3 separate regions of the Mus musculus genome follow, and all the other regions are reported to be linked to region 1. Evidence: microRNA targets listed by miRTarBase, many of them from high-throughput screens and not tested one by one. Region 1 holds a microRNA gene; each other region holds the end of a gene's coding sequence.

What was found. Region 1 holds the annotated microRNA mmu-miR-297c-5p (AUGUAUGUGUGCAUGUACAUGU, at 2,202-2,223, shown strand). A microRNA usually pairs through its seed, bases 2 to 8, with sites in the 3' UTR of a target mRNA and lowers its output. Matches are read on the target gene's strand: a 7mer-m8 pairs with bases 2 to 8, a 7mer-A1 pairs with bases 2 to 7 and ends in A, and an 8mer does both.
Region 2: the mRNA of Acmsd is a reported target of mmu-miR-297c-5p. Seed matches in the 3' UTR shown: 7mer-m8 at 1,763-1,769.
Region 3: the mRNA of Lin7a is a reported target of mmu-miR-297c-5p. The part of its 3' UTR that is shown has no 7-base or 8-base seed match.

Annotation. Positions count from the first base shown.
Region 1 is chr2:10,506,825-10,511,075 of GRCm38, forward strand. Mir297c (microRNA 297c) reads left to right here and starts at 2,192; the gene lies at 2,192-2,289. The region is part of intron 10 of Sfmbt2 (Scm-like with four mbt domains 2); the gene reads left to right. Mir467d (microRNA 467d) reads left to right here and starts at 806; the gene lies at 806-890. It overlaps Mir466 (microRNA 466), which reads left to right and starts at 1,094; the gene lies at 1,094-1,166. It also overlaps Mir669c and Mir669a-2.
Region 2 is chr1:127,765,619-127,769,869 of GRCm38, forward strand. It overlaps Acmsd (amino carboxymuconate semialdehyde decarboxylase), which reads left to right. Exons shown (of 10, transcript NM_001033041.2): 9 at 262-360; 10 at 665-1,946. The coding sequence ends at 727. The region is part of intron 1 of 2900009J06Rik (RIKEN cDNA 2900009J06 gene); the gene reads right to left. Among named protein-coding and RNA genes, the nearest start is that of 2900009J06Rik, 6.3 kb to the right of the region's middle.
Region 3 is chr10:107,411,286-107,415,536 of GRCm38, forward strand. Lin7a (lin-7 homolog A (C. elegans)) reads left to right here. Exons shown (of 6, transcript NM_001039354.1): 5 at 668-886. The coding sequence ends at 886. Among named protein-coding and RNA genes, the nearest start is that of Myf5, 73 kb to the right of the region's middle.

The DNA.
Region 1 (4,251 bases):
GTGAATATGCATATACACACATGCAGACACAGGAATGGCACTCATATATCCTTTGGAATGGTATGTGACTCAGAGCTTTAGAGCTTATGCAGTGCTGGGCCAGAGCTATGTCTCAGTTAGGAGGTGGATGCTCTTGCCAGCGTCAGGAGGTCCCAGAGTTCAAATTCATGTTTAACTTCCTGATGAGTTACAGATCAGCCTGTTATTCATGTGATTGTTTCTGTGTATGTGTATAGATAAGTTTGTCTGTACATGCGGATATATGAAAAGACATATATTGACACATATTCACACATGCATGCATACAGAAACACATGGCAGTCATCCATAAGTTTTATATGTGCTTAGAATTTCATAGAGTGTATATTTATGGTACAGTGAAATATCTCGCCAACTAGATGAAAACCGCTTGCCAGAATCAGAAGTCTTGGAGTTCAGAATCATGCTTAACTTAATGATCAGTTAGTGATCATCCTGGATTCGTGTGATGGACCCTAGGTATGTACATGCACACATAATTTTGTGTGCATGTACATGTGTGTATATGATTATACATAACACACACACACACACACACACGTATAAAAGCAAGCACACACACACCAAGGTATGGCATTCATCGATCCATTTGAATGATATATGTCTTAGAATGTTACTGATTATGCAGTAGAAGGACAGTGAATGGTCTCACTCACAAGGTGTAAACAATTGGCATTGTCAGGAGGATCAGGAGTTCAATTTCATGCTTAACTTCATGAGCAGTTAGAGATCATCCTGGAATAATGTGATGGCCCCTATGTATGTGCCTGTGTGCATAAGTGCGCGCATGTATATGCGTGTATATTTTATGCATATACATACACACACCTACACACACATGCACACAGACATGCGGGAATGGCCCTCACGGATCCATTTGAATGATATGTGACCTACTGCTTTGGAGGTTATGTATGACTGGGCCAGGGTGAGGTCTCACAAACCACGGGAAAACCCTTGGTAGAGTCGGGAAGATCAGGAGTGCAAGTTCATGGTAAAGGCATGATGAGTTAGAGGTCATCCTGGCATTCATGTGATTGCCCCTATGTATGTGTATATGTGTTTATGTGTGTGTACATGTACATATGTGAATATGATATCCATATACATACACGCACACATAAGACACATATGAGCACACAGGCACACAGGAATGGCACTCACTCATTGATCTATGTGACTGTGAGCTTTGGAGATTATGTGTGACTAGGTCAGGGAGAGTTATCACCCATCATGTTAAAAATGCTTGTTAGAATCAGGAGGTCAGGAGTTCAAATTCATGCTTTATTTCATGATGACTTAGAGATCTGCCTGGGAATCATGTGATGTCCCCATGTATGTGTATATGTGTGTAACTGTGTGTGGATTGTGTATATGAATATACATACCTACACACACATAGACCCATCCACAGACACAGACACACACACGCATGCCACTCCTCAGTCCATTTGAATGATATGTGACTTAGAGTTTTAGAGATTCTGCAGTACTCAATAGGGAGAGGTCTCACACCACAGAGTCAGGTGGATCAAGAGTTCAAATTCATGTTTAACTTCATGATGAGTTAGAGATCAGCATGCTATTCATGTGATGACCATAAAGAATGTGCATGTGTGTATAGCTTTGTGCACATACACTTCTCTATATGAATATGCATATACACGCATGCACACACACTCACTCACAGGAATGGCCAGAGCTATGTCTCAGTTAACTTACCAGGTAAAACGCTTGCCTTTTGGATCAGCAGTTCAAATTCCTGAATAACTTCAAAATGACCTAGGGATCAGCCTGGCCTCATGGCATCCTCCCCCCATATATGTGCATGTGTGTATAGTTTTGTGTATATGTACATGTGTGTATACAAATATACATCTACATACAGACAAACATAAACACACAGGCACGCACACACACACACACACACACGCGCACACACACAGAGGAATGTCACTCATTGATCCTTTTGAATGACAGGTGACTCAGAGCTTTAGAGATTATGCAGGGCTGGGCCAGTGAGTGCTCTCACTCACAAGGTGAAAATGCTTGCTTGCCAGACTTTGGATGACCAGGAATCAAAATTCATGCTGAACTTCATGATGAGTTCGTGATCAGCTTCGGAGTCTTGTGATGACCCTAGTATATATGCCTGTGTGTATATGTATGTGTGCATGTACATGTGTGTATATGAATATACATATACATACACACATACCCATACAAACATGCATACAAACACACAAAAATTGGCACTCATCCATCTATTTGAATAATTAGTGACTTAGAGTCTTAGAGATTCTGTATGACTGGGGCTGACAGAGAGAGGTCTCAGTCACCAGGAGAAGACTTGCTAGATTCAGGGTGATCAGGAGTGCACATTCATGTTAACGGCATGATGAGTTAGAGATCAGCCTGGCATTCATGTGATGCCTCCATGTATGTGCATGTGTGTATAGTTGTGTGTGGATGTGTGTATTTGCATATAAATAACATACACACACACACACAAGTAAACACAAGTGCACAAACAGACACAGGAATGCCATTCATCGATCCATTGGAATGATAAGTGATTTAGAGTTTTAGAGATTTTGAAGTAGAGACGGTGAATTGTCTCACTCACCAGTTGTAAACGATTGAAAGAGTCAAGAGGATCTGGAGTTCCAATTCACTCCTATGTTCAGCTAGATAGCATCCTGGTATTCATGTGATATCGCCCATGTGTGTGCATGTGAGTATAGTTGTGTGTGCATGTCTGTATTTGAATATACATAACATACACACACTAATGCAAGTACACACACACACACACACACACACACACACTCACACCAATGCCACTCATCAATCCATTGGAATGATGTGTCACTTAGAGTATTAGAGATTATGCAGTACTTGGCCAGTGAGTGCTCTCAGTCTCTAGGTGAAAATGCTTGCTAGAGTTAAGAGTATTCAGGAGTTAAAACACATACTGACCTTCATGAGGATTTAGAGATCAGCCTGTGATTCATGTGATGGCCCCATGATTGTGCATGTGTATATAGTTGTGTGTGCATGTTCATGCATGTATTTGCATATACATAACATACACGTATAAACGCAAGCACACACACATAGAGACACAAGAATGGCTTTCATCGATCCCTTTGAATGATATGTCACTTAGCATATTAGAGATTATGCAGTACTTGGCCAGTGAGTGCTCTTATTCTCTAGGTGAAAATGCTTGCTAGAGTTAAGAGTATCAGGAGTTTAAATTCATGCTTATCCTCATGAGAGATCAGCCTGAGATTCCTCCATGTATGTGCATGTGTGTATAGTTGTGTGTGCATGTTCATGTCTATATTTGAATATACATAACATACACACACACGTATAAACGCAAGCACACACACAGACACAGGAATGGCATTCATTGACCCATTTAAATGATATGCCACTCAGAGTAGTAGAGATTATTCAGTATGGGGCAAGTGAGTGCTCTCATTCTCTAGGTGAAAATGCTTACTATAGTTAGGAGTATCAGAAGTTCAAATTTATGCTTATCTTCAGCATGATTTAGAGATAAGCCTGTGATTCATGTGATGCCTTAAGTGTACATGCAGGTTTGTATAGTTGTGTGTGTATGTTCATGTGTCTATATGGATATACATAACATATACATAGACATATAAACCCTAGCGTGCACACACACACACACACACACACACACACACACACACACACACACACGAATAACATTCATAGATCCATTTATATGATATGCCACCTAGAATATTAGAAATTATTCAGTACTGGGCCAGTGAGTGCTGTCATTTTCTAGGTAAAAATGCTTGCTAGAATCAGGAGTATCAGGAGTTCAAATTCATGCTTATCTTCAGGAGGATATAGATATCTGCCTGTGATTCATGTGATTGCCACCCATGTATGTGCATGGGTGTATAGTTTTGTGTACATGTGCATGTGTGTATATGAATAGACATAACATGCACATACATATAAACACAAGCACACACACACACAGAGACACAGGAATGACACTCATCGATCCATCTGAATGATAGGTGACTTAGAGTTTTAGAGATTATGCAGTAGTGGGACAGTGAATGGTCTCAATCACCAGGTGTAAACCACAGAGTCAGGAGGATCAGGAGTTCAAATCCATGCTTAATTTCAGTTGGAGATCATCCTGGTATTTCTGTGATGCTA
Region 2 (4,251 bases), not on the chromosome of region 1:
ACACTCAGAAGCCAGACTAGCCCTAGATTTGCAATTTTTAGAAGACCTAATAGTGACACCTGCTGGAACAAGAAGATAGCAAAAGGGAAACTGACCCTTGAAATCTTTACAATTGTAGACCAGCTCTGTTTCTAGTAAAATGAGGGGGGTAGGGGGAAATGTTGTTTTACTAGACTAGTGTATATGGTAGGTAAATTAAGTGTATGGAAGGCTCTTTAATGTTTTCACATTCACAAATAAAATGGTATTTTCTCCTTTTAGGATAAAGTCATGCTGGGAACTGATTACCCCTTTCCTCTGGGCGAGCAGGAGCCTGGGAAGCTGATAGAGTCCATGGCAGAGTTTGATGAAGAAACAAAGGTACGTGCCTTGGCTCCAGCCAGCCCATCCTGAGCTGAACACACACTTGATTTTCCTAAAACTATGACTCCACTTTCTGAAATAGCTAGACTATTAAAAGCAAACGCTATAATATCTTAAAATAAGTGCAATATAACTAGATGTATAAATCCTCTGTCCTCACAAGTGTATGTGCACACTGCATGTTCATAAACACACACTAAATGTAAAAAAAAATCAATGATGATATCTAATAAGTGCTTTATCAAGCCAATCATGCTTTTAAATAAAGTCTCCCCACCCCCCTCTCTCTCTTTCTTTTCAGGATAAACTTACAGCTGGCAATGCCTTGGCTTTTTTGGGTCTTGAGAGAAAACTATTTGAATGACAGAATTAAGCACACACAAAAAAACTTTCGAGAAGCTACGTCACTTCTGTTTTTGAACATGAGCTATACACACATCTATTTTGAATTATGTTACCCCAAAAATGGAATATCCCCCTCAGGATGAAGCAAGAGGATCAGCAATTCAAGTTCCAGACCAGTCTGGGCTACTTGAGACTGTCTAAAACAAGGGTGGGGGTAATATTTTCAATATTCTAACTTATTAATAACAAAATGTTTTATAAGGTCTTTATTCTGAAATGTAATATTCTGAGAAGTGTATATTACTACATAGCAAATCAAAACCATTTGATTTGAAAGAGATAAAAAATTAATATATAATTAATGATTTAAATAGAAAAATCCAATACCAGCTTTATTCTAGAAGGCTCGGGGTCTCTATGTTGACTGAAGATATGGGAAATGTACCCAAATAATAAGGTTTTTTCCAGTTGTAACCCTTTCTGCTAGCCTAGTCATTCAATGGGAATGTTTTTATCTTTGTAAAGTACACATAGGCTATGCACAAGCTCAAATGTTCTAAAAGCCAGTTAAGAAAGCAAGGTAAATGCTTATGGAATAAATGCTGACCCAACACAAAATGGTTTTGATTTGCATATGTAGTAATGTACTACAAACTCATTTTAGCCTCCCACAGTTGGATAGATCTTAGAATTTGACCTGAGTCTGGAAGGATGGATGAACATTTCTTTAAAAAGTAAAAAGATGTTGGTCGGGCATCACGGTACATGCCTCTTACATCAGCACTCAGGAGGCAGAGACAGGCAATGGGTCTGTGTTTGAGGCCAGCTTGGTCTGCATAGCAAGCTCTAGGATAGCCAGCCAGTGATACACAGTGAAACCTTGCCTCAAAAAGAAATAGGTAGGCTTGGAGAGATGGCTCAGCAATTAAGAACACTGATTGCTCTTCCAGAGGTCCTGAGTTCAATTCCCAGCAACCACATGGTGGCTCACAACCATTTGTAATGGGATCTGATGTCCTCTTCTGGTGTCACTGAAGAAAGTGACAGTGTACTCACATACATAAAATAAATAATGTTTCTTTTAAAAAATAAATATGTAAACAGAAGATGGGAGCTGGACCAGAAGAGAAGAAGTTTGAAACCACAGGTGTGACTTAAGAGCGGATGAAACTTTTCTAAAAGGAATGTCATCTATACGTTTCCCTTTAGCAGAGCAGGAGGCAGAGTTAACTCTGGGGAGGGAGGAACACCATGACACCCTTGTTCTAGGCCCTTACTGCTCCACCTGAGTAGCTGTAAAGGAACTTGGGCATGGGGTGGGGTGGCAGGCAGCATCTCTCCTCCACATGCCTATGGCTGCATCAAATAATCCTTCCATAGCACACGCTTAACTTTGGACTCACGCATAACTCCCTTCCTTTCCATTCTAGTACAAAGCCAGGCTCCCTATTAACAGGTGACTGGAGCTGCCTCGATGACAGAGAAAGAAGAGAGCTAACTAATACCCATGACCCCATTCTGCTCTTCTCCCCATCCATGTCTCAATGCTCCATCTCCTTCCTGATCTCTTGTTTTCTAGAATTTTCACCAACTATGACTCTACTTACTAGTCTAATCTGTCTTGAAAGAAAAATAAAGTTGAACAAAACAACACTTGGAAGCATGTGTTACTATTTTTCTCCTTCCCCAAACCTTTGAAAGAAATCTCTACTCCTTTTCAATATTTCCTATTGGAGCTCTATACACATAATACCCGTATTACTTACTTTTGCCTTACTGTACTAAAAAAGACCACACACAAGGTTGAACGGATGTTTCAGTCCATTATGTTGGGGAGGCCTGGCAGAGACGAACTGCTCACAACACTACAGAAAGGAAGCGGGGAGGGAAAGAATGCCTGTGGTTGTGGGCTTTCTCCTTTTTTCAATCTGGAACTCAGCTCATGTGACGGTGTCACTCACATACAAGGAAGGCCATCATCTCTTAGTTACCTTTGGGGTTTTTGTTTTGTTTTGTTTTGTTTTGTTTTCGAGACAGGGTTTCTCTGTGCAGTCTTGGAACTCACTCTGTAGACCAGGCTGGCCTCAAACTCAGAAATCTGCCTGCCTCTGCCTCCCAAGTGCTGGGATTACAGGCATGCACCACCACTGCCTGGTTTTAGTTATCTTTGGAAGAGTCTTCACAGACACACCTAGAATAACCATCACAAGTCCATTCCTTGTCAACATGATATTCCCACACATCTTACACCATAAGATTCAATCCCTCCCACCCAGTGCTCCAAAGCTCTAATACAGTTTCTCTAGAGGCTGGGGCAAACACTTATTTATTAATAAATTAGCTATTTATTTATTTATTAGCTCTGCTAATATCACATTATATAGTCCCATGATACAATAACATAAACATTCCTATTCCCAAAGAATTCAGGAAGGATTACTGAAAGCTTCTAGTATCTTAGCCTGACCTTGAACTGAACGCTTAATGTAGCCAAGTGTGTCCTTGAGCTTCTGGTTTCTCTGTTAAACCTGAAATTTTCAAGTAGACCGAATCCACGATTGTCCAATTAAAGTAAACTTTACTTAATACTGTCCAGGAAGATGGACACTGGCTAGGTCCATACCTGGGATTTCCAAAGAATGGCACGGAATTAGGTCAGTCAGATGCCTATAAAGGTCAAACCCAAAGCAAAGTACTTTCTTCCTTTGTCCAATCAAGAACCAGCACACATCCTGCCTACGTTTGATCAAGTACGTCCTGTGCATTTGGGGTAACCAATCACATTTATTGAAGTGAAAATCTATGACATGCATATATATATGAGAACAACAGCCCCCAGAATTTCAGGAAGTTATCTGTCCTTGGGCAGGTGGGGCTTATAGGTTAACTTTAGCCCTTATACCTTCTGTCCACCCCACGGCCCACCAGTGCTAGGATTATAGGCTGTACCTCCATACACAATTTGTTTTTATGCAGTGCTGGAGCTAGAACCAGGCCTTCAATGCTTCCTCAATGCACTATCTCCCAACAAAGCACCAGCACCCCACGCCCCGGAGCTCTTTTTAAGAGCCTAATGTCTTCAAACATCTTGCATTCTTTACCTTTAACTTTAAACATGCTTTTTTTCTAGCCAAATTGCTTTTCAGGTCATTCCTCTGCTCTTTTGCTCCCAGTTCTCCCTATAAAACTAGTTTAAAGCAGCCAGGGGTGCCTTTTCCACAGCTGGAATAATGGACTGCCTTGAATTCTCCTGCTCCAGATTACCTAGTCAATAACCAATAAACCTAGCTTCCCATAGTCTTGGGCACGGACAGAATGTAAGCAACAGAACACAAATGGCCTCTAGTCGGGTTCTTACTAGAAACCTTGTTCCCATCTAAAGGCTCATCGGCTCTCTGCCAGAGGTTCTGTCTGCATAATTCTGGAGTTCTACAGCTAGCTTCTCTACATCTTCCTACAAGTCAGTTCTTCCTAATTACAGTCAGCTATAATTCCACTCTCCCCCACACCAACTTTCTCTACCAGTTACTCTTTCACCACTGT
Region 3 (4,251 bases), not on the chromosome of region 1:
TTAGGTCTTTGCCATCTTTAAACCCCCCTAACTCAAGCCATCTAATCCCCCCTGTGTCCTAATATGGCCTAACCACCCTGAAGTTCAGTTATGAACATAAATAATAATGATGATGATATTGTCTTATTTACCATGTCTTCTAGAAGTTGCAGACTTTGGATTCTTCATCTGTAGTTTATAGAGTTTAGTTGTTGGAAGGGATTTCTGGTTATTTCTATGATGATGATGATGATGATGATGTTTGAGACACAATCTCCCGTATCCTAGGTTGACCTTGAACTTGCTATATAGCCATATATATGACTTAAGCACCTTATGTTCCTGCCTCATGATTAGCATCTGCCACCAAGGTTGCATGTGGTATTGAACACAGAACCTAGGGCAGCTTTCATGTTAGGCAAGCACCCTACAAACTGGCATACAACACCAGACCCTTGATTTTGACTTTTTTTTTTAAATACAGTTTTCACATCGTATGTTAGGCTGACCTGAAGCCTACAGTGCACCCCAGGCTGACTTCGAACTCTCAGCCACTCTCCTATTTCAGTCTTATAAGTATTGGAATTTATGGACAAAAGCGTCAGAGGTTTGGGTTTTTACTAGGATAACAATCCTAGATTAGTCCCTGGAGGAAACAAATGAGTGAACTCTCTCCATGTCTTCTCAGAGTGTGGAAGGGGAGCACCATGAGAAAGCTGTGGAACTTCTCAAGGCTGCTAAGGACAGTGTGAAGCTGGTGGTCAGATACACCCCAAAAGTCCTGGAAGAGATGGAGGCTCGTTTCGAGAAGCTGCGGACAGCTCGGCGTCGACAGCAGCAGCAGTTGCTCATTCAGCAGCAGCAACAGCAGCAGCAACAACAACCACAACAAAACCACATGTCATAGGTGAGACTCACCCTCCTCCTCCCCGTGTACACGCTCCTGACATCCTAACGGTCGCCCTAGTCAGCCAACATAAAATTGCCAAGCATAGTAAACACCCAAGGACAATTAACCGAAAGAAAGATGATGATATTCGAAAAAGTAAACAGGTTGTCCTGTTTCCATGAGTCATTCAGCTACAGTCTCCGCATATGGAAGATAATTTTGGAAAATATAATGCTATGGGAGAGGTACCTGCTAACTCCAGGATGCCTGTTTATAAACTATGATAATGCTATTTTTTTTTTGCCAGATCTATACATGAATGGCAAGGTGATTCTAGTCCCCACTCATCCCCTTAGCTAGTCGTCACTTTCACGGAGTATACAAACTGCGCTACTCTATGGTGCTATTCCTGGCTACTTTAGATTAGAAAGATGCAGTGGATTAAGAAGTTGTTGCACATGAAGAGTGCGATGGCAAAGCAAACAGTTAACACAGCGTGAGACACTGAAGGGTTGGAATTCTATCTGACTCTCCTACCTTCTCCCAAATCCCACTGCACAACACAGTGACATACATATCCAGTTTTGTGGATATTTTCAAGAAAACTGAAGAAAAATGTGTTAATATCAAAAGTCCCCCCCCCCCCGAAGTGCCTACTATGTGTCAGTGACACCCTCATCACATAACGCTTCATCCTCTGAAGAACGTTTCAAGAAATTTACCATTAAAGACACATCTCTGGGATGAGCAGTCTAAAGCTTCCTTCAGCCACCATTGACATGTGGCTTGGAATCAGGGTTCTCCTCCTGCCACTCTCAGATCCTCTGAAGTCATTTTTATATGTTTGCCAAACTATTCATTGGAAAAGATCAATTCGATCAGAATGCATTTGTGTACCAGGATGTCTTTAAGTGTGTCTTGGGAAGGACATTCACACGTTCTTGGGAAAGTGGCAACAGATGTTGGGTGGTTTTCAGTTTTCCTTACTGAAAACTTACTGTTTGCTTAGCAGAAATAGTGATCATGACATGAGACATGCTTCTTTTTTAATGACACTTGTGGAAAAAGAAAAGCTATATAGTGCGTGTTTTTGGTTGTTGGTCTTTCTTTTGTTTTTATGTATATTTGGGGACTGGAGAGATGGCTCAGTAGGTAAGAGCACTTAATGCTTTTCCAGTGGACCTGGGTTTGGTTCCCAAAACTCACACCAGAGAGCTCACAACCACCTGTAATTCTAACTCCAGGAGTTATGATGCCCTCTTCTGGCTTTTGTTGGTACATCACACACATAGTACACATGAGCATTAGACACATGTAGATGTACACACACTCACACAACACACACAATACATAGGAAGATAGATAGGTAAGAGAGAGAGAGAGAGAGAGAGAGAGAGAGAGAGAGAGAGAGAGAATGAGAAAATACATATACATACATATATTTTTTTTAATTATATTCCGTCCCCAAAAGTATATTAACCCAACATCAGATGTCTTTGTCCTTTGGCAGAGCTGCATCCAGGTACTGTCCAGGAGCTCCAGGGGTAACCTTCTCTTCATGAGGCTACATTCTGCTAGGAGGGGATAATTAATAAATAAGCAAGAAAATAAGCCAACGGCCTTTTGAGAGCAGGACTTTAAAAAATTAAAACAAGGCTGTTTGAATGGAGACTACCTTAGACACAGTTGTCGGTGAACACCCCTCTCAAAGGACATAGCATCTGAGAGGAAGCCGAGTAGGAGAAGCACCCAAAGAAATAATAAGAGAAAATAGCCAGTATGGTAGCATATGAGCTCTTTGATATTTGAACAACTAACAGATAGCCTAGAGAGCTGAGAATAATGAGTAATAATGATAGTGGTGGATTATGAAGTCAAAAGGACAAGTAGGGACTGGGTACAGAAAGCCTAGCAACACTAAGAGAAATTAATGTTTTTGTAATGGAGGACAAGATTTTTAAGCCAAAGGGTGGCATGATTTGATTTATGTGCCATTAAGATAATTTGGCTTCCTGTTTTTGTGACCCTTGTCTTCCTACTGGATTCCATGTCCAGTTTCAACACAAGTGGTAGTTTGGGGGAGGGGGATCATTGCCTAATCTTACTGCAGCTTAATTTGCCATGTTTAGTTGATATCCCTGGGAGGCCTGTCATTTTCTGAGGGGGAAAAGGAGAAAGAACAGATTGGGAAAAGAGATGGGGGTGATAGAGGAGGTGGGAGGACAGATGAAGGGAGGGGGACTGTGGTCAGGACATAATATATGAGAGAATAAATTAAATTAAAAGAATAATTTGGCTTCTGTGACAATGGAGAATTACAGGGTCATAAATGAAATAGAGAGAGATGGAATGGCTTAGAATAGAATGATGAGGTTGGGACAGACACCATTAATAGATACCATTAATAGGCAAGTCATTTAGCCTAAAGCCTTCTCCTTAGTTACCTATTCTGTACCACAAGCATCCTAACAAAAGTCCTCTGGATAATAGGGGAAATCTCTGATGTATCCCTAATATTCTTTCTGCTAGTACTATTGTTTATTCCATCCCTGGTAATGCAAGCTATTCATCCCTCTTCTCCAGAATTATTTATGACATTAGCCCTGAGTAAATGTGCTCAGGGGTAGTTTGAAAGCAACAGGTTGATCTCTTAGACCTCACTGAAAACTGCCATGTTTTACTCCTCCCATTATCTTTGGAAATACACAATTTGGTCATATGTAGCCTTTTGTATTTCTATTCCCTGTTCAGTCTTCATTAAGTCACCTCAGGATTTCCTATGGCCCATTACCAAGACTTACATATTTAATCAGAAAAAAAACCTGTCCTATCTTGTTGTGTACGTAGGATGTGGTAGAGTTATGTTCGCTTGAACATGACCTTTGTATCTATGCCCATCAAGAGAGCTACTGTACAGCACAGTGCCTACCCCCTTGAGATTAAATGGTAATGATCATGTGAAGAACAATCAAGACTTACCAAAGGCATGTCACCCATGGATTTTATGGTGAATTCAGTCAAAAGGACCTACATTAGCTCTTGCTTAATTTTTTATTAACTTGATCTTTAGAGGGTCAAAAAAGACTTACAACACTTAATAATTTATACTAGTTGGTTTTTTATATTTTTTTCAGGCTTACCAAATCTATTCAACTGGAAACAAATCTTGAATTTTTTTTGGTCTACATTCAAAGACCACATAATCAAAATACTTGTCAGAAGACCATCTCACTATGTATCAAATGAAATAGAACATGTAATGCTTTCAAAATAAGAAGTAGTATGTGCTGAGAATATAGATATTATGAAGTCACTACAAGCGGGAAGCAGATAAAAAAGAAAACCATATTGAATGTAAGCCATACAGGAGAGAATTGTCTTTT